Linked DNA regions of Schizosaccharomyces pombe. Changing the gene in region 1 together with any one later gene gives a genetic interaction. Each region holds a gene or a part of one and is shown in the gene's direction. Other genes may lie near its edges.

Region 1 (6,119 bases):
TATCTGGTATATGAGAATTGCAAAAAATGGTTGGGCCTAGAGTAAGGCACATTTTCTAACTATTTATAATTCTTATTGGTAGGGACCTTTACTTCAAAATTAATAATTCTTTCATTGATAATGATAATCCTTTATCGCAAAACTGATTCTTTATTTACTTTACCTAATCCCCTCTTATTTCATAGCAGATACCCATTTTTCTTGCACTACATTCTGAAAAGAAAATTAGAGATACCTCTAATCCGAATTTGTATATTTCTCGACCCAAATTTCCGTCATCATTGGTCCAATATCCACATTTCGAACAGGAATGGTGATGCCCTTAAATTGCCTTGTTGCGTCTGTTTCTCTCGCTTGCGGCGGAAGAAACCACTCTTCCCATTGTTTTGGTCTGGGAAAACCATCTTTTAGCGTTACCCGAAGCGTCCAAGTGCATTCTAATTTCAGTATTATTAGAATTGAATTTAGTAATAGAATATTTTTTTAGAAAATAATACTGTTTATACCTTGTTCAATAAGAGGAAGTCCATTTGTTATATTGAGTAATTGGATGAGCGAAGCTCTCATGTATTCAACGTAAGCATCTGTGAATGGCTCATTTGTTGAAATTCTACAATATTGTTAAAAGATGCCTATGCCAAGCTAATGATAGTCATACTGTTTCTCAAGTAAGAAATCAGGAATAATCGGGATAGAATCCGTTGAAAAGACATATCGTTCCTCTTCTCGCTGCTCTTTGTTAATAATAGAGAGTGCAACTTGATGTACTGATCCCTAGACGAGCAGTTAGAAAAAGAATTGGATGACTAAGAATACCGTCTGAAGCTCCTCGATACAAGATTGCACTACTTCTTCAATATATTCGCACAAGATCGGATGCCTTGATTGCCAGACAATTGTATTGTATTTTCGAGCTTTTATAAAAAGGTCTAATATGAGAGTTAAATCAAAAGCTAAAAAATCGAATACCTTGAGGATAGAGTCTTCTAGCGTAAAGAATACAATGAATGCTTACAAGCACTGAATTGTAAGCAAAAATGGAAGTTCAAAGTTGCACACATACAAAATTCTCCAAATATATCAATACATTCTAATAGTTTAGCAAGCAAAAGACCCAAATAATCATACTAATAACATACTTTTCACAGACCATCCTGTGTCGTTTTCCATCAGACATGAACGATACGATGATTACTATATTCAAAAATTTCTTAATATGTTCGTTCAAATTCGAGAATTCTATCTTTTCTGAATGAAGCGAGAAAATAAATAAATTATAAAGTTATTAAACCAAAGATATGCAAACTAAAAGAATATCAGCAAACATAGTAATTACATGGATTACAATAACGTACCCGCGATTATTGACGGGATTCCGTAAAACTAACAAAAGACAAATAAGATAGCTGGATAATGAACTGTTCTATTAATTGGTCAATATTTTTTTATTTTGCGTTATTACAATTTTAGCATCAATCAAATAAAATTGGACATGTGACAAAAATATTTATGGGGTAAAGTTCTGTAAAATCGTTATTTTCAAGATTAACGTGCCAAAATCCTTCGAAATTATAACAGGGGTCGCTGAAAAATTTGCCCATATATTTCAATAAATTTTGAAAAAGGAATGGAGTGGTGGGATTCTTTGAATTGCTTGCGAAATCCCTGCGAGCTTGCCAGTCTTACTTCATAGCTACCGCCTTCCAACTACTAAACGTACGAAAACATCGAAAGGACTAAAGCGGGTGTTTACTAGCATTTTATCGAGCTTAAAAGTCTTAATGAAATCTTATAATCACATTAATATTAAAAACGGAAGCGAAAAATTGCAGATAAGAAGTTAAGCGGAAAAATCAGGATTAGGCCATTTAAAGTAATGGATATGATTGATGAGGCTATAACAGAAGTTGTTAGGAAAATTGAAAGAGAAAGATCAGTTATTCATGGCGCCCTTTCCATGAAGCGCTTGACTCAGAATCAGACAGTTCACCAACAACTTCATAGCAATATTGAAGAATCAAAAAAGAGCATTATTTATTTAGAAGAACGCTTAGAAAAACTAAAGCTTCGCAAAAATGGTGTCCGAAAGAGTAATTCTGAGAAACCGTCCGTTGGCATTGAGAAGAATCCATCCTTTAGCACTACAAAATCCGCTAAAAGCTTTTCCTCTACTTCTTCTAATATCGATTCTAACTTGGATTTGCTAAATTATGATACCCCTCTTACTATTTCAAAGATATCATTCTTATTACAACAATTGGAGTTCAAATTATCTGTTGAGGAACAATATCGAAAAGGTATTGAAAAGATGGCAAAGCTCTATGAGCGTGAACATGACCGTCGTAGTATAGCTGAAGCAGAGAAGAAGTATGTAGAAAGTGCTCAAAAGATTACCTTACTCAAGCAAGCTTTGAAGCGATACCATGACTTGCATATCGAAATCGATGAGGAAGATGTTCCCAGTACGGAAAGTAGAGGTAACTTAAATGCCCGTCGTCCCCAGTCTGGTCTCCTTAAAATTACCGTAGGATCTCTAAGGAACGTCACGCATTCTGCTGGAATCTCCAAGCAAACGGAAATGATAGTTGCAATTCGTGCAGAGGATCTTGAGCGTGCACGTACTCGTCCAAGCCGCACCGACCGTTTTAATGAAACTTTTGAAATTGATCTGGAGAAGACTAATGAGGTCGAAATAGTTGTTTACGAAAAGAAAAATGAAAAATTGCTATTACCTGTTGGTTTACTTTGGATACGGTTATCGGATTTAGTAGAAAAACAAAGGCGAAAAAAGGTTGAACAAGAGGTTTCAGATAAAGGTTGGGTTAGTGCCGACAAAATGATTAATCAAAGACTTTCAATATTTTTACCTTCTGCTCTTAATAATATTTCAAAGCCTGAAAGTACTGACCGCCCCAACACAGCTAGCGGTAATCAAAGTGTGAGTGCTTGGTTTTCTCTTGAACCCATGGGACAAATTAATTTGACCATGAATTTCACAAAGCATAATACAAGGAAGAGACCTATGGATGCTGGCCTCGGTCGTCAAGGTGCTATCCGTCAACGCAAGGAAAGCGTACACGAAGTTTATGGTCACAAATTTCTACAACATCAATTTTATCAAATTATGCGTTGTGCTTTATGTGGAGAGTTTTTGAAGAATGCTGCTGGTATGCAGTGCATTGATTGTCATTACACCTGTCATAAAAAATGCTATCCAAAGGTAGTTACTAAATGCATTTCAAAGTCTAGCGATTCTGCTTCTAGCGAATACGAGAAAATCAACCATAGAATTCCTCATCATTTTGAATCTCACACAAACATAGGTGCTAATTGGTGCTGTCACTGTGGCTACATCCTTCCTTTAGGAAGAAAAACTGCCAGGAAATGTACGGAGTGTGGAATAACTGCGCACGCTCAGTGTGTTCATCTTGTTCCGGATTTCTGTGGTATGTCTATGGAGATGGCTAACCGGGTTATTTCTGAGATTCGTACAACTAAAATTTATAAAGCTCAACAACATAAACAGAAAAGTTCACATCACAAGCATCATCATCATAAAAAGTCTAAGTCTTCATCTTCGAAACATAAGGAAAATGACAAAGCATCCGTTTCTATTACAACCACCACAACACCATCTATCACTCCTGCAGACCCTGTTCCAACTTCTCCAAAACCACTGGCAATTGAACCGGTTAAAAGAAAGCCTGTACATGCCGGTAATTTAGAAGTGACATCAGTCTCTGATAATAAACTTGGCGCTACAGTTCAGGTTGTCGAGCAGAAAGTGGATGACAAAGCTGATGCGTTGACGAAACCTCCTTCCCTAGATGCTGTGAAAGAGCCAATCCCAGTACCATCAGTTGAAACCTCTGTTGTTGCTCAAGACCTAACGCATAAAGCTAAGCGTATCGGACTTGAAGACTTTACTTTCTTATCTGTGCTAGGCAAAGGAAATTTCGGTAAAGTAATGCTGGCTGAGCTTAAAAGTGAAAAGCAATTGTATGCTATTAAAGTTTTGAAAAAGGAATTCATCTTAGAAAACGATGAAGTCGAAAGCACTAAATCCGAAAAACGCGTTTTTCTCGTTGCCAACCGAGAGCGTCATCCATTTTTGGTAAACCTGCATTCTTGCTTTCAAACCGAAACCCGTATTTACTTTGTCATGGATTTTGTGAGTGGTGGTGATTTGATGCTTCACATTCAACAGGAACAATTTTCACGTAGAAGGGCACAGTTTTATGCTGCTGAGGTGTGTCTTGCTCTAAAATACTTTCATGATAACGGTATCATATACCGTGATCTTAAGCTTGATAATATCCTTTTAAGCCCAGATGGTCATGTTAAAGTGGCCGATTATGGTTTGTGTAAGGAAGACATGTGGCATGATAACACTACTGCCACGTTTTGCGGTACTCCTGAATTTATGGCACCGGAAATCTTATTAGAACAGCAATATACGAGAAGCGTTGACTGGTGGGCTTTTGGTGTACTAATTTACCAAATGCTGCTTGGTCAATCTCCATTTAGAGGAGAAGACGAAGAAGAAATTTTTGATGCAATTTTATCTGATGAACCTTTGTATCCTATTCATATGCCAAGGGATTCCGTTTCTATATTACAACAACTTTTGACTCGCGATCCTAAAAAACGACTTGGATCTGGCCCTAACGATGCAGAAGATGTCATGACTCATCCATTTTTTAGTAACATTAATTGGGATGACATCTATCATAAGCGAACTCAACCACCGTACATTCCAAGTTTGAATTCACCTACGGACACCAAGTATTTCGATGAGGAATTTACCCGAGAACTCCCAGTTCTTACTCCTGTTAATTCTATTCTGACGAAAGAGATGCAGCAACATTTTGAAGGTTTTTCTTATTCATGCGAGGATGATAAACCCTCGACTACCGATAATGCTTAGCACCTTAAATTGAGCATAAAGTTACTCTCATTTTCTTAATCTTTCATTGCATTGATAAATTATTCTAATTTCGACTTTTTAAACTAAACATTTTTGGATTTCTTTACTACCTGGGTTGTATCTATGATATTATAAGCATGCACATTAATAATCCATACAGTGGCATTAGACTTTTGTTTATGAAAGCACTAGCAAAGTAGTAATTTACTGAGTTTAATAATTTACCGTTTATTGGTCAACAGCTATAGTGCTAATATATGTTAATATCCATCGCATTTGTATCTATGGAGCAAAATTTTTGGATACATTCAATGAAACCCGCCAAATATACCTATGCTTAAGTAATTGCTTTAGTGCAACCCTGCATGTGGGTCTTCTGGTTGTCTTTCGGGATCAAGTTTGATACTAGTATCGATACGTAAAATAGCAATGCATGCCTCAACGGCGCTCTTCAAACTTTTCAACTTAGACATGGATGGCTCAAGAACACCAGCCTTAACATTATCACGAATTACGCCATTAAGTAAATCAAGACCATAATTTTTGTATCCCCGTTTCTTAACATCTGTAACCTCAGCATTTTGACTGGCTGCGTGATAAGCACGCAACTTAGCTGTCAGTTCAGTAGAGTCTTTGGCGGCATTGACGGCCAAAGTTCTGGGAATAATTAACAAAGCTTGTGCAAACTCAGCAATTGCAAGTTGCTCACGAGAGCCCAAAGAGGTAGCAAAATTTTCCAAGTAAATGCTCAGAGCTGTTTCCACAGCGCCGCCACCAGGAACGACTTTGCCGCTCTCAAGAGTGCGTTTGACGACGCTTAAAGAATCATGCATTGAACGCTCCATTTCATCTAAAGAGTATTCATTGGGGCCTCGCAGAACAATTGATGCAGACGAATAAGCTTTGGTTCCTTTGACAAGAATACATTCATCATCCGAAAATTTTTCTTGAACAACCTCTTCAGCCGAGCCCAAGTAGGAACTTTCAAAGGTTTCTTCACCCTCTAAATTTGACAATGAACTGAGTAAGGTAGCACCGGAAGCCTTGGCGATACGTCTCAAATCTTCCTTTTTGCATCTACGAACAGCCATTGCGCCAGCTTCAATAATGGATTTCAAACAGAGATCATCAATGCCCTTTGTGGTAAGAATAACATTGGCACCCGCATTGAGAATTTTTTTGACGCGTTCCA
Region 2 (6,201 bases), 470 kb from region 1:
AGTTGCTGGTTCTTGGAGAAGAGCGTCTACAATTGAAAAAGGAGTTTCAAGCTCTGAATTGTCCTCTATTGTATCCTCGACTGGCTCCATAGTGGAAACAAATGGAATAGGAGAAAAAATGTCATTCTCTCCTCTTAAGAAGCTAAGTATTCCACCAACAGAATTTGTAGCTCAAATTGCAATAATTTGCATGGCTTCTGGAGTCGAAATGCTCCTAAAAACCAATGGGATTGAATATTTCGGACAAGAAAACACCGTGCCTATAGCAATGGATAAAGCAAGCAAAATATTTTATAAATTTGGACAATCCCAATGGCACCAGATACTGCTTGAAGCCCCAACCAAGGATCAAGATTTCATATCCGGTAAAAAAAATGGAAAACTGGATAAGGTAAAGCAGCAATGCCGTTTCAACTTAAAGAATGGGGACATCTTGTTTTGTCCCCAGTCGACGAGTATATTCACGGTTGATATATATAGTGACGAATTGGAAAGAGTAATTAAAGGAATGAACACAATGTTGCTTGAATTTCCAGCTGAGATGCACTTTTACGTTCCAGAGGAGATTCACAAAAAACTCATTGGATTTCGAGGAGAGCAAATCCAACGTGTAACTAAACTTTATAATAGTTACATTGAATTCTCAACTACTCCTTTTGACTGTTACGGGCACAACGTGCTCATTCGCACACCATCAAAGTTCTCCGAAAATTTGTGGGCCGTCCGATCTTTATTCATTAAGACAGCTGAAGGATTAGGATACGACATCCCGAAGTATTTGTTTGCTAATTGAATTTTAAGTCAGAATCCAGTCATCGACCTGCCCATAGATCACCACACTTTCTCGTTATATTTTTTATGTCCATAACAGACACTCAAGCTGGTTATTAAATTCGGAAACTAAATTTTTTGAAAATCAAAAGTGCTCCACTGTATCAACTTTGATACACATCTTAAGTGCACAATATAATTTAATGAACGTGATCCACGCAGAATTTTGAAGCACATGACAAGTTTAAACTTTAAGCAGTTCAACGATTTGTGCAGGACGGCAACCACTGTTCGTATGCCTTTTTTATTTCTTATTTTGTTAATAAATTGTCATTGAAAACAAAAGATAAAACGTCGATAAACACAGCTAGATTGATATAATAACAACAAACATCTTTTCAGTAAAAAGAAGTAGAAACTGGCACTAACCGTTATTAATCAACTTGCTATACGCTGTGACATCTAACACTCTTTGACCAGTTAATTAGAATCGTATTTGATGAGAAAACGATATTGAGTTAATCCATCCACTTTCTTTGGAATGCATGATGATTAAATTAGTAAATTAAAGAAACAAAAAGGGATTACACAAGAGTTGTTAAACATAAAGACGTCGTTCGACTATAAAAAAAGACGTGTGAACCGTAATGCACCCTTTGCGGTTATTGGGTTTCTTCGGTTTTTTTTATACAAATTATATTACGCTTAACTGAACGAACTAATCAAGTAGCACAGAAACAAGCCACTCTTATTTTTTCTCAAGAGTCGAGCAATACTTCGTTCTCGCTGACAGGATTGCTAATAACACTAACGAAAGATGAACAGGGGGAATGTTGTATAGTTCATTTTTAGTCGTACAATAAATCTCGATAAATTTGTATAAGCAATATCATTTTAAATGTTTCAAAATCTCAAAATAATATGAAGGAAGCAACCATCACTTACACAAAGTATGAAACATAAGGAAACGATATAGAAAGAATCTGGAAAATAAGCAAATATTAATAATAGCTAGATCGAAACCTGGTGGTTTATTCGCTGCAAAGCCATAGCGGTAACAAAAGGAACAAATGCCAGTGTAGCCTTCTATATAAACAAAGGTCCTATTCTTTGACCTCCACCACAAACGGCTACGAGTTTAAAAGAGCTAGCAAATGTTGTAAAGCCTTGGTATTTTTATTTATTTTTTAATCAAGAACAAACTTTGAATAAAACCGTAAAGAGTTTTCTATCTTAGCTGCCGCTCATTTTTTGAGCTGGTGTAATTTACCTATCCATTCTCTTGGGAAACACCTTTCTTTTAATTTTCAGAATATTGATTTCCTTATGAATTCGGGTACGACACTTCATCTGGACAGACTTAGTTTGGAGACGCCATCCGAACGTACTTGTTTTTGTATTAAATGTTGGGAAGTATGTGAGGTTCAAAATTTAATCGCCGTGTCCGGAGAGCGGTCTTTTCACAAAACGAGACCCTGTCTTGAAATTGGACACTGCTCTTTTATTTTTTCCCAGCTGTAATGAACGGCATTTACTAACTTTTGCTCTAGAGTGTTCCCAGTACCTCTCAAGTTTGGTTCGGTGGGAAATGTTGGCATTCCGATTGGTATGATTGAAAATGCAAACGTTGGGATTTTTGGATCTTTTTTTTTTCTTATAGATTGAATAAAAAAATATAAAATGCTCCAAAGATTACCCTTGTTTGTGCTTCTTGTTGTTTTGATTTACTAATTAAGACGGTTTGCTAGTTTTAAATGTGTGAACTGCAACAAAAAATTAGACCCTTCCTCTGAAGATTTTTCTCAAGACGATCAAAAGCAAATATTCTGTAAATTATGTGTTGATATCTGCAACGGTTGCTCAACTCCTATTTGCGAGTTCAACGCAGTAAGCAATAGTCAAGCTAATCATCCTTGTTGCTCCAATTGTCGAGCTTTCATTAATTCAAATGCTTTTGGCAAGTTCAAAGGTCAACATTACTGCCTTCCTTGTTTGCGTAAACAAGATGAAGAGAATCAAAAGGCTGTTATGGAAAGCGCATCAGGGTTTATTCCTCTTAGGAATATCGCACAAACTGCGGAAAACACTTCTTTAACTGGTAAGTTTGTTGCTTATGTAGTATTTATTGATATTGTCTTTATGTTTCTAACTTTAATTTTAGGGCAAAACCAAGGCTTTCAAAACCCGCATTTTATAGCGTCTGATTCTCCATCCTCCGTATTATCTGGTCGAATGCAAAATACCAGCTCTCCTACAAACTCTCTCCGTCCTCAATTAAAAGTTCAAACTAATGGTTATGAAACACCTGGTGATATAAACTCCGCAAAATCTTACAAAGACATCCAAAAGGACTTCTTACTTAAACCCAAAAATTCTTTCGTTAAAACCTCTCCCTCTCCACTAGCTAATGGTCCCTCATTTCGTTCAGCTAATGCCTCTCCATTTGATTCGTGTGACTCTTTTCATTCTGGAAGTTCGATACCAATTGAACCAGTTTCTTCAAGGCAAAGCTCAGTAGTAAATAATAATAGCGTGCAGCAACCTGTTGCTTATCACGCCTTTGTTCAATCACCAACCGAAAATGGTACGCTTCCTCAACTTCCTAAAAATGAAAGCGTTGTTAATCCTCCTCCACTTCGCCGCTCTTCTACTATGAATTACAAATCTGTTTCGACAACAACATCACCATCTAAATATGGATATGTGTCTGGCAGAATAGCTCTATCTCCTATCCATTTAAGGGGTGCTCTTCGTGATGTCACAAATAAATGTAATTTAAAGGTTCCTAGAAATCGAAACAGTTTATCTAATCTTGACGAATATTACGTTAACGGATTGGAAAGCGACGAAACTCCTACAAAGGCTAGATTTCCTAGATATCCTACGGTATTTAATAAGTTAGATGACAAACGACTTAGTAGCGAACCAAACGGCTTGAAGAAAAGATTGACGAACTCTTCAAATTATGAGGCTTCCCCGCGGGCCAAAAGTTTAAATTTGTCGCAAGTTAGTTTGCATCAAGCATGTGAACCTGAATACAATCGAAGTTCTTTGGTTAGAGCAAGTGATGTGTTTACTTCAAACGTATTTGATGCTACAGAGGAAAGCGCAAATGAACTCGCCATTCGTATTTCAGAGCTTCAAGCTGAGGTTGGAACCTTATTGTTGGAAGCGACTTCGTTGGCTTCTATCATAGAGCAGCAGACTCCCGTGTCCCCCGAAGCTTTCAAGCAAGAGTTGGTTGCAGATTTAAATTATAGATTAGATTATTTACGGAAATCTTTTCAACCTGAACTGTCTACCTTACTTTTGAGGCGAGACGCTTTGTCTACGACTGTCTCTAAATTGCAAAACGCTTACAGCACTGTAATGGAAGAAACCGCATATCTGAATGTTAAGAACACAGAACTGGTAAGCCTTAACAATCAATTGGAGAGAGAATTGGCATACTTGAGGGAGCAGCAGCATAAGAAGCGAACTTCTTCCTCTTTCGGAATATTTAATAATGATAAAAAATCCAACCGAACGATTTCAACCCCGTCTCCGCGAGAATCGTTTTCGCGTCTACAAATGGTTGCATCTAGCCTTGGATTTAGACCCAAAGACAATAAAGACAAGGAGAGTGGAGGGTATAACAAACGGAACTCTAAAATAGATCTTAAGAAGTCATTTTCTAAACGGTTTCATTGGAAAAGAGATTCTCCTCACATGTCGAGTACTCCCAGTATTTCTGAAGAACATTTAGCTTCTGAAGAACAAGAGGATTTCGTTCCAGCGGTCGGTCACTGCAAACTTTGCGGTAAATACTCCAATGAGCTTAGAGCACATTATCAGGATTGCGTTAGTTCTACTATAGATCGTCAGTATCAATCTAAAAAAAGCGAATCTCCTGTTTGGGCTTTGAATCCTGACGACTTCGATCAAAACAGGCTAACACTCTTGAGAGTCCCGACGCTTATCGTTTCTTGTATAAATTTTATCGAGTCATACGGCATGGATTTTGAAGGTCTGTATCGCAAATCAGGGGCAACTTCTCAAATGAAAAAAATTGTTGCGTTACTAAGAAATGAAGATACGGTACTTGATCCAAGTGAGGATATTTCTGCTGTCACTTCTGTATTCAAGCAATATCTTCGCAACCTTCCTAATCCAATTATTACCTATGACCAATACTTTCCGTTCATCACAGCAGCAAATTGTGCCTCTTTCCAAGATAAATTAGACGGTTTTATAATGGTCATCAAAAGTCTTCCTCCAGCTCATGCTGAAATTTTGCAGCTCATTATTAGACATTTAGCAAGGGTTGCTGCATATAGTCATGCAAATCGAATGACATCCAAGAACCTTGCAGTAGTATTTTCCCCAACATTAATACGCGACCCCGATAATTCCAGAGACGTTATTGACATGACTGTTAAGAATTACAGTCTTGCGTTTTTGATAGATCATGTACATGAAGTCTTTGCCTAAATTCACACTATCCTTTAATAATTCGCTCTTTTGTTTTGCACGTTCCTTTATATTCTTTATTCGTCTTTTTTTGTTGTTTTAGTAGTTGTACCATAACTTTGGGCAGTTATATCGAGATTCCTTTTTGCATTTGCTAAGATAGTTTCATTTTTGGTCATTTTTAGATGTCATCGTGAAATCAGTGGCAGATGAGTGTTTTATGGATTTGGCGTATAGCTTCTTCATAATGCATTATCACTGCAGACTGACATCCATCGCTTTTATTTAATCATTTCCCTGTTTTAGTCTACTTGGCATTACTCACAATGCTAGGCTATGAATAAAATGCAATTGCATGTATAAAAAAGGAGAAATTTGTATTTTTTTTTAATTTTATTATGCTTTCAAGGATTTAAAGAAGCATTTTTTCCCAAGATCCCTAACTTAGGAAATGCTAGTGCAACGTATTGTGAGTAAGTGATTTTGTAGATATATCATGCCCATTATCTTAATGGAATTCTAAAAAACCAAAAGCAATTCCTATAAACAAAAATTATATACGTTATATGGTAAATTTTTTGAAGGGGGTTAAATAGAGTTTCGAACGTCTAACAAAAAACCAACTCCTGTTTTACTACCACTTTTTTTTGAGAAAAGAGGGTCTTTAAGCAGGATATTTTATTATCTATGTGAACAAAATTACGGAATTTTACTAATGGCAGATGTTATTAAACGATGCATTTTGGGCCCGACTGAAGCCGGCTGGTTCGTCGCAAAGTCTCAAATAAAAAAACCAGTTGACCAAAGACCGGTTATCCTAACCCATTGTAAGCTGCACAGCAAAATGCTAGAGCCAAAGGCGATTGTTTATAAAAAAAATTCATCTGCAATTCCTAAACGAGTTGACAACATTCTTCTTCGAAGTCAAAAGCCCAAACATATAGAATGCCTACTTGTGGACTCTAAAATCACCAAAACAAG
Region 3 (4,714 bases), on another chromosome or scaffold:
TCTATTAATCACGGGCAATCAAACTACTTCATTTTATCGGCACAGCAATAGCATACTTCAAACATATGATGTTTTTCGGACTTTTCTTTTTCTTCTATTTACATACAATTCGTATTCGGCGTTTTAAAATTGATGCATCGTTGTACCGTTATAAAAAATACTGTTCCCCAAGAAGGCACACTTTGCATATGTAGATAAACCGAGTGGGCTAAAAGAAGGTAGAAGGCATCAAGTATTCATACACAAGCAATTTCTTTTACATTTCCCAGCGATTTTTACCGCTTTACACTTCTTACCTCGAATTTCCTAAAAATCTCATAAATCTTTGTAAAACGATTCCTTCCGTGCATCACTAATTCATTTAGCAGATTTGGACAATACGCTATTCTACATTTAGCCATACAAAAGCATACAAATTGGCAAGCCCCACAGGTGCAAAAATCCGGGGGCTAAGACTGTGACGAAAATCCGATAGTTTTCAGTGGTAGGAAGAAAATTTTCATAAAATCCCCTTCATATCGTTATTAAGAGAAATCGCAAACTGCCGAGATCACAATGATGTTAAGTTGCCTCTCATGAAATTGGTAAAACGCTTGGAAAAATTATTTGGAACGTCCGTTTAAGCATGTTATGATGGATGCTTAAATTTAGTCAAAAAACAGACAGGGACAAGGGACTAGCTATCTTTGACAGAATATAGAGTTCTCAATTGTTAAAAGTTAAATCGATTTTAGATTTGCACGCACCAACGATGTTGTGAATGCTGGTTACATCCAACTTGTAAATATGTAGTGCACCAACTTAAATAAATTTGAATTGGATTTGACGAAGGAAGCAATCAAAAGGCAGAATATCCAAGAACGCTAGAAACATTTATTTCTATTGAACTGCCAGATATGTCAATAAAAAATGTATGGCACGAAGGATCAATGATTGAATGAATCATACACTTGTTCATAAAAAGCAACATTTCTCGCCAGTATCGCATTTAAAGGAAACTTTGTTCATAAACAAATAAGAAAAAGAAAGAAAAAAAATAAAAAATAAAAATATTATTTGATATTAGGAGAATGAAAAAAAGTTTAAAGAATTAACTTATCGCTGCCAAATGTATCTACTGAGTACCACTCCGATATACATTCGAAGCTAAATACTCCCGTATACATAAACCGCTAGATTTTTAAAAAAAGTGAATCTGAGAGAAATTTGTGCCTAGTTTTATTTTAAATACCTTAATTTCTAGTTTTCTTTGAACATCAGGTTCTCGAGTTGCTTGCACGGTAACATCGATGATAGATCAGATAATTTGTAGACGTAAATGTTAAAAATAAACAAGAACAAAAAAAACTTCATAGTAATAATTAGAAAAGTATCAAAAAATTAATAAGCATCCTTTACACGTTTTCCTTTTATTTACTAGCTTATTTATATTTGTTTATTTGTTTACACCCGGCCGCTGCAGCACACTCCGTTATCGTTATCTGTAACCAACGATATTTTCGGACATCGTTATAATATACTAAGCCTAATCATGTCTTCATAGACACCGATCGTTTCCGAGGCAACTCACAATGGATGTTTTGGCTTAGTTTTTTTATTACAAAGCCAATATTTTTATTGCACAAGCAAAGCTTTGCCGAGTTCTAACTGCTCCATTTGTTTTCAACCTCTTCCTCTACCAAACAGCTACACAAACGACTAGAAAGGAGAAAACGGCTGTATCAGAGAGTGTTGTGACAGTAATTTACTTTTACATACTCTTGCCGTTCTTGGAAACCATTCCCGTGTTTGCAATAGAGCCTTTTTTCTTTAACGGTTTGTATAAAGTTCAGCTTTTACGTTGCATTCTCTTTTTCTTTCTTCTCAACCTCCTTCGTTAATTTCTTTTTTATTTTTTGTTCCTCTTTTTGGATTTTCTCTTATTTCTTTTTGTTTGTTTTTCCATCAAAAACTCTTTTTCTTCATTTATTAACGTTGGTGGATTGTCGATAAGCTTGCTTGTTGTAAAGTAGATTAGACCCGACTTCCTCCTTTTATTCGATATAAAATATTTTCCAAGTTTCATTTCATTCTTTTCTTTAAAAGGGTTGGATATATACAGGTGGTATTGTTCTTCTAGACTTGTGTGTTTCTTGGCCTTTTTTTTTTCATCCGTATACCCTGTTCCGCTTCATCTTTCCTTTAGGCATCTCTTTTTGAGGTAGGGATTATCAAATAAGTAAACATTTAAAACGGAATCTATATATTTCCTTTTTCCTTATTTGCTATTTCCTTTTTTATCGGGGGATTCCCCTTTTCTAGTGTTACGCTTTCATTAACTGGCACTGTTCATAAGTGATTTATTAATATCCGTATCTCATCTCCTCCTTCTAACGTTTTGTCGATCCTTTCTTTTATCATTTCGCTTGCATTTCCCCCTTTATTTGCTTTCTGCTATCTATCTTCTCTTTCTTTTTTGTCTCAATAGCAGGTTTTGATTCCTCTTTAACGCTATCCCTGTGAATAATTGAGAAAGTTAATAGCTGTTGATTTTTCCGTAGTATTGATCAAAAAATTTCCTTCAGATCATTCCGTTTTGCATATTTTCAAAAAACCTTTTTTTACGATCTTTCCTTTTCCTCGGGTTTTTTGTTTATTTTTCTTATATTTTAATTACTTAAACACCCTATACGATTCTCTCGTTTACATCCTCATTTTATTTTTTTATCTTTTTGCCGTACGTACAGCTAGTCACATTTATTGAGTCTTTCTTATGCATGGTCTTCAAGGGTTATGTTTTAGAAGAGCTGTTATTGCTTTAGCACTTCTTCTTTTTCATTCCGTATTTGCTGCTCCATATTCCGAGGATGAAGAGCCTTGGAATTTAAATCAAAACAAAAACGCTTCCAGTGTTTTGGAGTATTCTGGTGAATGGGCAGATCATGATTTCTTTCCAAGCCCTGATAACTGGCGAATGAGTTTTATTACTGTAATTTTGGATCGTTGGTATGATGGTGATCCATCCAATAATGATATTGAAAAAACTCCATTTGAATATGATATTTCGGAAGTCAGTTTTCGTAATGGCGGTGATATCGTTGGGCTCGAGTTATCATTGGATTATCTTGAAGGTTTAGGTACACAAGGTATTTATATTGCTGGTACTCCATTTGTCAATATGCCCTGGGGAGCTGATCAATATTCTCCTTTGGATTACACTATTCTTGATCACCATTTAGGAACTATCGATCAATGGCGTTCAACTATTACTGCAATGCACGAAAGGGGCATGTATTTGGTTGTTGATTTGACGGTTGCCACTCTTGGTGATTTAATCGGTATGGTTGGCCATCTTAATGATACATCTGGTGTTGATTTTAACTTAAATGAGTATAATGCCATGTGGAAAACTTCTGAATATAGATATGTGGATTTTAACTTCACTAACGTTTATAATACTTCATGTGAATACCCAAGGTTTTGGGGTGAAGATGGTGGTCCTGTTTCTATTCAATTTAAAGGTTGTTATGTTTCAGACTATGATCATTACGGTGATACTGAAGCTTTCGGTTCCCATCCGGATTGGCAGCGTCAATTGTCAAAATTCGCATCCGTCCAAGATCGTCTTCGTGATTGGAAACCTGATGTTGCAGAAAAATTAATGCATCTTTCTTGTTTGGTGATTTCTATGCTTGATGTCGATGGATTCCGTATTGATAAGGCTACCCAGATGACTGCTGATTTTATTGTGGATTGGTCGATGTATGTGCGTGAATGCGCGGCGAAATACAATAAGAAGAACTTTTTGATCGTTGGTGAAGTTACTGGCTCATCTAGCTATGGTTCTATATACTACAATCGTGGCCGTCAACCTGATCAGCGGCCCCCTAATGTAACTGCAGCTTTTAATTATACATCTGATGAATCGCAGTACTCATTGAGAGATTCAGATCATTATGGATTTGACGGTTCAGCTTTCCATTACTCTATTTATCGTGCTCTATTACGTTTTCTGGGTATGGACTCAAAGATGGAAATTGATTTTGATGTTTCCTCAGTACTTACCACAGCTTGGAACGGTATTCAAATTAACGAAGATGCTGTCAATATAAACACAGGAACAGTAGAACCTCTACATATGTATGGCGTTGCTAATCACGATGTGTTCAGATGGGGAGCTATTGAAAATGGTACTGCTCGTTTGATCCTTGGTACAATGATTACGTCTTTGCTGTTTCCAGGTATTCCGCTTCTGTATTATGGCGACGAACAAGGTATGTATGTGTTGGATAACTCTGCAAATAATTATCTTTACGGACGTCAAGCCATGAACTCCGCCAGGGCCTGGTATATTCACGGCTGTTACAATGGTTCTGCTACATCTTATCCAACCGTGGATCTGTCACCTGCACAAAGAGGTTGTCAGGATTCCTGGAATTATCTGGATCACTTTGATATTGCTTCTGCTCATCGTAATGTTTATAGGAACATTCATAGCATCCGAAGACATTATCTTAGTTTGAGCGAAGGATGGCGATTTGATCATATAGCCAATTGGACAGATGATGTTTATTTTCCTGACAGTCAGCCTTATGCGTCCCCTATGGGATTGTATAGTGTTTTGAGAGGCCCCATGAAAGAAATTCAGGACTTTGATTCAATTACGAATGCCTCTAATGTCTCGAAATCCGAAGTTTGGGTTCTTTACGCGAATCGTAACGATACTCATCTTTGG
Region 4 (6,791 bases), on another chromosome or scaffold:
GGCAGAGCGGACCAACAAACATTCTCACGTTCTTCCATGCAATATGTCGTAACTTAGAAGAAGTTCGTAAATCGTTTACTAAATTGAATTTATTTACTTTTTACAAGAAAAACGAGTTGCTCTGTTGTATCGATAAATAAAATAGAGAAATTCACAGGTACTCATAATATAAAATTTCGTTACTGTAGTGTTTGTATAATGATGTATTGTGATAGATTTTTGTCACATAAGATTTTGGTGTGATGTGCCTTATTCCATTCGTTTCTTTATCAACGTACAATCGCGCTATCTTCATATAATAAATCGGCAAATTCCAGTAATAAAAAATAAGGATTTGTGCTAGTAATCACTATTGTACTTTATTTGAAGCCTATTTCTGCCATGAGTCCTTTTGGGGCAGTATAGGTAGGTAAAAAAAGTCAAAGTCCCATCATGCTCTTTGACAAACTCGTACACTTTAAGGGTTGTTAGGAATATATATAATAAATGTTTCTAATTCCCTTCCTCTTAAGTTTTACGTTCTACAGTTTACATTTCTATCCTACGAAGAAAGCAATTAATTATGATTGACATCGGTAGGGACGACGATATAATTATGAAGCTGCACCGATTTTTATTACCAAGGTTCTTCAAATTTTTTAAATAGCCTCTAATATATTATTGAAGAGCTTCATTCTTTCAATACTTTGTTAAGTCTTTTGATGCTTTCCTCTTCAAATCGAAAAATTCAGCGCACGTCGTTAACGAATTTTAATGTCTTCATTAAAATGCACAAATATACGTAAAAATAGTTTAATGTCTTCGGTATCTATCGTTGTAGCGGTTTATGTGTTGCTGCCAATATCCTTATATAGAGTAAACAGTCTTCCTACCATGCGTGTCTGAGTCGTCCACTAATTCAAACAATTACTCATGTTTCTAGGGCGATTGCTATTCATTGAGTAGTTTGAAGAAATTCATTCTTTCCAAATTTACTTTGTTGCTCCATGTTTACTTATTTTCGCCTTTTGCTCGTTTCGTCTATTTTCGTATGCTCATCATTTTTATGTCAGTTGTTACTTTGTCCACGATTTATGGTTGAAGTAAGCTTGCCCGGTCGATTAACGATAATTTATAAAATCAAAAGAATCAGTAGTTCAAACCAATTTGCTCAAGAGCGCTACTGTTCTTGGATCGCCACCTTTCGCTACTTCTTTCTTCTTATATCCGATGTAAGAATCTTCTTGTGGGTAAAAACCAACTTTCAAAGCAAAGAGAAACACATAATTGCCTGTCAAAAACGAATTTTATTAATAAACAGTAATTCACTACTAATTTTGTTTTGCCAAATTTTTCGTTTTCCATCTTACTTTCTCATTCCCTCCAAACTTCTTGTTTAATCAATTCTTCATACACTCTTATCATCGATTGTATAACGTCTTCGAACGCACTACGCTAATGAATTTTTCCTATATACTGAACACGTCAGTTTACTTCCATCGTCCGCAAGTCATCGTTTTCAACGCGAATGGTCTATTCTTTCGTTTCTTGTGATAATTGACTGTTCAATCGGCCTTAGCTTTATACCGAAATTTTATAAATCTATTTATTCAGCTTAAGATTTCATCGTTCAAGTCGATATTCTCTTTGATACCCTCTTTTGTCTTTGTTTGTTCCTTTTTCACACTTGCTGAGGCCATTCCTCACGATATTTAGGAGTTACGCTTTACCTAACAAACCATTTTTTGTCTACCATTTTGACACTCATTTTCTTTGTTCATTTCTTTCGCAACTCACTTCCTTGGCGAAACTGGTGGTTTTCGCCTGTTCTACTCTAGCTAGCTAAGCTCCCTCTCCCTGTGCATTCTTAGCCTACCTCTTTTTACCGATACAACGAATAGCGCTCCGTATATATCAGTTTGCCAGCTTGCGGATCGCCTCGGAATTCAAGTATTAGATATTACCAACTAACTTTGTTTGTTAAGTGAGAATTACGTTCTTATCATTCATTACGGTAGAATCGGGATTTTTATAAGCAGGCCTTTTTTTTTCCTTAATTAACGAGGATCTACCACTGATCACTTTCATACTTCCTCATTCCTTGCGATTTTGACATTTGAGGAATTAAAATTCCTTTTGGGGCTGACTGTTTCGCGGCGATTTTCATTTGCCGCCTAACTCTTTCGCTTCTGACGGACCAGTCTTCTTTTTTTTCCTTTTCTTAATTTTGTTGGTTTTTCGTTCACTTCTCGAACCACAACCTTCCTTAATAAGACGCTTTTTTTATCCGTAAACATTCGTTTTCCCGTTTACTTCTTTCTTTCTTCTTTTTTTTTGGGGTTTCCTTCTACTTATCTTTTGGATCGTTTCCTGATATCTTTAAAGGCAACCGTTTTTATCAGTTGGGGTCTACGTATTTAATTTGGATTACGAATCTTGTGCCTCGTTTCGCCTTAGCCAGTCTTTCTTTGCTAGCGACTTCTTTTTTCGTTCGATCTCATTGTTTCTTTTTATATTCTTTATTTTTTGTTAACCCACTGCTCCTTTAACTTTTAATACTTCTTTTCTCACTACCCTTTTCGTGTCATGGATGAGGAGTTTGAAAATGACTTTCCTTACAAGGTGATGCTTAATCAGCAACAGGATCCTTCTGATGCGCAATCGAGTCCTACATTTGTTCCTTCTGCAAACCCTTCCCTCACCACTCCTTGGTTACAAACCACTCCCTCTGCTAATCGCCCCACATGGCTACCGTTACAGCAGCACATGCATCAGCTTCGACACACTGGTCTTTTACCCGCCGTTGAATCGTCCTTTGTTCATGGCCATCGTCGAAGTGCTAGTGCTGGCGTTGGTATGGGCAATTTTTCCAACCAAGCCACTATTCCTTCTAATTCTCCAGCCGTTTCTAATATGCAACCACCGACTCAAGGCGGTCAACCCTTATACCCTACTAATTTCTTCACCACTTCGGTCTCTGCCTCTTCAGATTCCTTCCCTAACAGTCCGACCGTTCCTTCAAAGTTTAGCTTAAATCCATCAGTTGCTACATCTACGAACATTAGTCCAAGGCGGCATGCAAAAAGCCATAGTGTTGCTTCTGTTTCCTCTCCCAATTCCCATAACGCCGTACCGTTTACTCCCCATGCGTTCGTTCCTCCAGTCAACAACGCATCTCCTTTACCAGCCTTGAACACTTTACCACAATTATTGCGCCCTCGTAATTTGGATGCTCAATGGCGTCCTTCATCACTTTCTCAAACGAATAGTCCTACTCATGCCGCGAATCCATCTTTTCCTGGGACTATTGTAACTCATAATACCTCAAACTTTCGTCCTGAAGGCGGTGGTCATCGTCATCGTCGATCGACTGGCAGCTTAAGTGTTGGCTCCTCTGGCTCTGGTTTTTCTTCGGGAGGTTCAGGTAATCCCCGTAAAAATCTTTTTTCTCCTTATTTACCACAGTCATCGATTCCTGCTCTACTCGCTGAGCGTCGTTTGGTAACGGGTATTTTAATTGTAAGTAAGAAAAATAGATCAGACGCTTTTGTTAGTGTCGATGGTTTGGATGCGGAAGTATTCATATGTGGTTCGAAAGATCGCAATCGTGCCCTTGAGGGTGATGTCGTTGCCATAGAGCTGTTAGACGTTGACGAGGTATGGGCTGGTAAACTTGAAAAGGAAGAGAATCGAAGGCGTAAAGACCCAATTTCTACTAGAGGCTCTTTTGACAACCTTCGAATTGACGCCGTACCGTTTGAGGTTCCTCAGAGGTCTGCTATAAAAGCAAGAGATGATGAACAAGTGGAAGGGCAGACCCTGTTCCTTCTTGACCAAAAGCAGCTTGGTGCGGACGAAAAGCCAAAGTATGCTGGTCATGTCGTAGCAGTCTTGCAGAGGGCGCCAGGCCAGGTATTTTCTGGTACGCTTGGCATACTTCGGCCAAGTAGTGCCGCTAATAAGGAGAGGCAGACCTCGTCGGGTAATCAAGGCTCTTCCAATAACTCGGGAAATGACAAGCCCAAAATCGTATGGTTTAAGCCATCTGATAAACGTGTGCCTTTGATTGCAATTCCTACTGAACAAGCACCCACAGACTTTTTGGGTAACGATCAAGCATATGCTCAACGATTGTTTTTAGCTTCTATAAAGCGTTGGCCTGTAACTTCTCTACATCCTTTTGGTATGTTGGTTGGTGAATTAGGATCTATGGACTCTATGTCTGCTCAAGTATCCGCTTTATTACACGATACGGGTGTTCATAGTGAACCATGGGAAGGATCCGCCGCTACATCCGCCGTAACTGCACTCAATGCTTTATCGGATAATTTTTTAAACGTTGCTGGTTGTGCAGATTATCGATCTGAAGATGTCTTTTTATTTGTTAAAAATGACGTTAGCAAAGCAGCCGTTTCAGAAGTCAAGCAACATGAATCAAACATCAATTCTAGTTCTGCTACTGATTTCGTTTCTTCTGCCTTTCATATTCGACCAACTTCAACTGGTTATCATGTAGGAATCCATGTTACTGACGTTTCTCGTGTTATTGAGCCAGGATCCCCATTAGATCGCGAATTACAGCGAAGAAGTATTGCGGTGAATCTTTGCCAAAAGTCGGTTCCTTTGTTTCCCACTACGTTAGGTGAGGCTTTATCTTTACGAGAAGATAAGGATTGTTATACAATGTCTCTCTTACTGGATGTTTCCTCAACTGGTAAAATTCGTGGCACTTGGATTGGATGGGCTGTCATTCGTCCTCGCAAGGCATATACCATGAAGGAAGCTGATGAGTTGCTTCAAACTGATGCTAGACTTCGTTTATTCCATACCGTAAGCAGTCGCTTACGAACTCATCATCTTGGTACAGACGTGCCACTCAGCCGGTATTGTAGGTTAGTACGTCGATGGGATGAAGAAAGCTGCAGCTTTGATCCCAATGAAACGAATCTTTTTATTTCCTCGGCGGTTGAAGTTTTACGTGAAACTCTTTTGGATGCCGCTAATAGAGCCGTTGCAAGCCACTTGCGTCAGGAATTCCGTGAAAATGCATTCCTTAGGACTCAGCGATTGCCCTCTCGAGAAAACTGTCGCATATTACAAAGTATGGCCATTCAGATGGGATGTGTTTTAGATTTGTCTTCGACAAAATCACTTTTACGCTCTTTAAGTTTGATCGAAGACGATACTGTTCGTAACATTTTGCAGCTTTATTATTATAAGGTTACCCCAAGAGCAGTTTATGAAATGCAGAAGTATAAAGGCAATCTCGCTTCCCAGATGATGAGTCTTGGTATTGAGGACGAAAGTGACGATTTGACACATTTTACAGCACCTTTGGAACGTTATGGTGATATTGTAGTTCATTATCAACTGCAGTTGCTTTTGAGAGGAGAACTGGCTTCTGAAAAGCGCCTTCGTGTATGGTCGCAAGCGGCAAACGATGCAAGCCGTCGTCTGGTTATAAGCAAATTTGCGCAAGAAACTAGCATTCATATAAAAATATTTAGTGACTGGGCGGAGAGTCAGGTTTGGCAAGACGGTCTCGTATGTTTTGTTGCTCCATCATATTTTGACGTATTTTTCCCATCTCTAGGCATGGAGAAACGTGTTCATTTAGATTTGCTCAATCTAACCCACGTAAGGTTTGAAGAGGACCAGGGCATTTTATCTTTATACGACGAGAGCGGAGCCGTTACAGTTGTTAAATTGTTGACCTCTGTCAAAGTTAAGCTCTTTGTGCAGCTTTCGACTCCACCTCTTATCAACGTTTCAAATGTCGAGTTTTGATGTTGAACTTCGATTGTTTGCAATGTTTATTTCATGTATGTGTTTTTTGGTGACACATGTTCATTTTCGGATGCCTGGAATGGCTTTATATTCTCATTCATATTATTGCTCTTATTATTAGGCATTGTTGATAAAAAATATGTTACGATTCTAAAACTGCATTTTTTCCCATTCTTACTTTTCTCTTTAATTTCGACGAAGCTGTTACTTACGTCTAATATTTGTTTCTGGAGATTTACAAGTTTTGCATAGCCAAGGAGCTCGAAAACTCGGTTTAATCTTATACACTAAGATGCCGATTTTTTATGTTATATAACTAAAAGGATGATTAAACTTGATTACGATAGTTCACGATGATAGAGTTGGATGAAGGAATCCAGTAGTCTCGATACGTGATTTTATGAGTGCATGAGTTGATGATACCTTGAACTTTTCCTTTTTTATACATTAGATTGGATTTTGTTTCAAAAATGAAATCCTGCTTTTATATTGATACATGTCACTTTGTTGGCTTACCAGTAGATGAAGTGTCGTTTGCGTTTGCAATCACTGCGGCGATTAGGCAATCAGAAGTGGATTCTTATCGGTCGTTTGGGGTTAGCTGAGTCTTTTATTTTTTGTTTCTTTTTTTAAAATGAATCTACTATTGGACGACATCTTAGCAATTTTCAGTTGATTTTTTGCAATTTAAGTTCATTTCTTACACAAAATATTCAAATTTATAGTTATGAAACGTATCCGGGATGTGTTAGTTACTCATGTCCTATTTTATGATATGAAAACGGCATAAGATATTAAAAAGAAAAGGATTCTACAAATATTCTTAGTGATTACTATTTTTCATTTTTAACGCTGCCTTGTTATATCGGCTTTTGTTTACCAAGTGTATTAACTCGATATCGAGTATATTTTGATGTATACGCATGCTATACTGATTATAAAAAATTATTAATCCACAAAGTCTTAGAAATTATGAGAACTAAATGAAATACTCTTTAAAAATAGAAAAAAAGTTAAAAATATTT

Evidence for each region.
Region 2: of pck2 (region 1) and rga4, changing one suppresses a phenotype caused by changing the other (phenotypic suppression), as found in Schizosaccharomyces pombe (one study listed by BioGRID).
Region 3: mutations in pck2 (region 1) and ags1 impair growth when combined (synthetic growth defect), as found in Schizosaccharomyces pombe (one study listed by BioGRID).
Region 4: of pck2 (region 1) and sts5, extra expression of one rescues a mutant of the other (dosage rescue), as found in Schizosaccharomyces pombe (one study listed by BioGRID).

What each region holds. Positions count from the first base shown.
Region 1 is NC_003423.3:2,308,595-2,314,713, reverse strand, and holds pck2 (protein kinase C (PKC)-like Pck2), read left to right. Parts: upstream 1-1,705; 5' UTR 1,706-1,876; coding exon 1,877-4,927; 3' UTR 4,928-5,277; downstream 5,278-6,119. Other genes in the region: SPOM_SPBC12D12.05C (calcium-binding subfamily carrier protein), read left to right, coding at 1-45; DNA polymerase zeta Rev7, read right to left, coding at 238-437, 507-610, 659-774, 817-929, 970-1,020, 1,064-1,090, 1,140-1,170; chaperonin-containing T-complex alpha subunit Cct1, read right to left, coding at 5,278-6,119. UniProt on the Schizosaccharomyces pombe protein: Involved in the control of the cell shape. Target of the inhibitor staurosporine.
Region 2 is NC_003423.3:1,837,526-1,843,726, forward strand, and holds rga4 (Rho-type GTPase-activating protein Rga4), read left to right. Parts: upstream 1-1,890; 5' UTR 1,891-2,097; coding exon 2,098-2,184; exon of another isoform or gene 2,185-2,321; coding exon 2,322-2,377; exon of another isoform or gene 2,378-2,519; coding exon 2,520-2,869; exon of another isoform or gene 2,870-2,932; coding exon 2,933-5,241; 3' UTR 5,242-5,662; downstream 5,663-6,201. Other genes in the region: SPOM_SPBC28E12.02 (BICC1 family RNA-binding protein), read left to right, coding at 1-793; protein Cbp7, read left to right, coding at 5,936-6,201. UniProt on the Schizosaccharomyces pombe protein: GTPase-activating protein for Rho-type proteins.
Region 3 is NC_003421.2:1,371,420-1,376,133, forward strand, and holds the start of ags1 (cell wall alpha-1,3-glucan synthase Ags1), read left to right. Parts: upstream 1-1,677; 5' UTR 1,678-2,752; coding exon 2,753-4,714. UniProt on the Schizosaccharomyces pombe protein: Required for alpha-1,3-glucan and alpha-1,4-glucan production which are required for cell wall synthesis.
Region 4 is NC_003421.2:677,797-684,587, forward strand, and holds sts5 (Dis3L2-like 3'-5'-exoribonuclease), read left to right. Parts: upstream 1-2,038; 5' UTR 2,039-2,565; coding exon 2,566-5,766; 3' UTR 5,767-6,287; downstream 6,288-6,791. UniProt on the Schizosaccharomyces pombe protein: Required for the maintenance of cell shape during interphase. Required for localization of cortical actin to the growing tips before mitosis.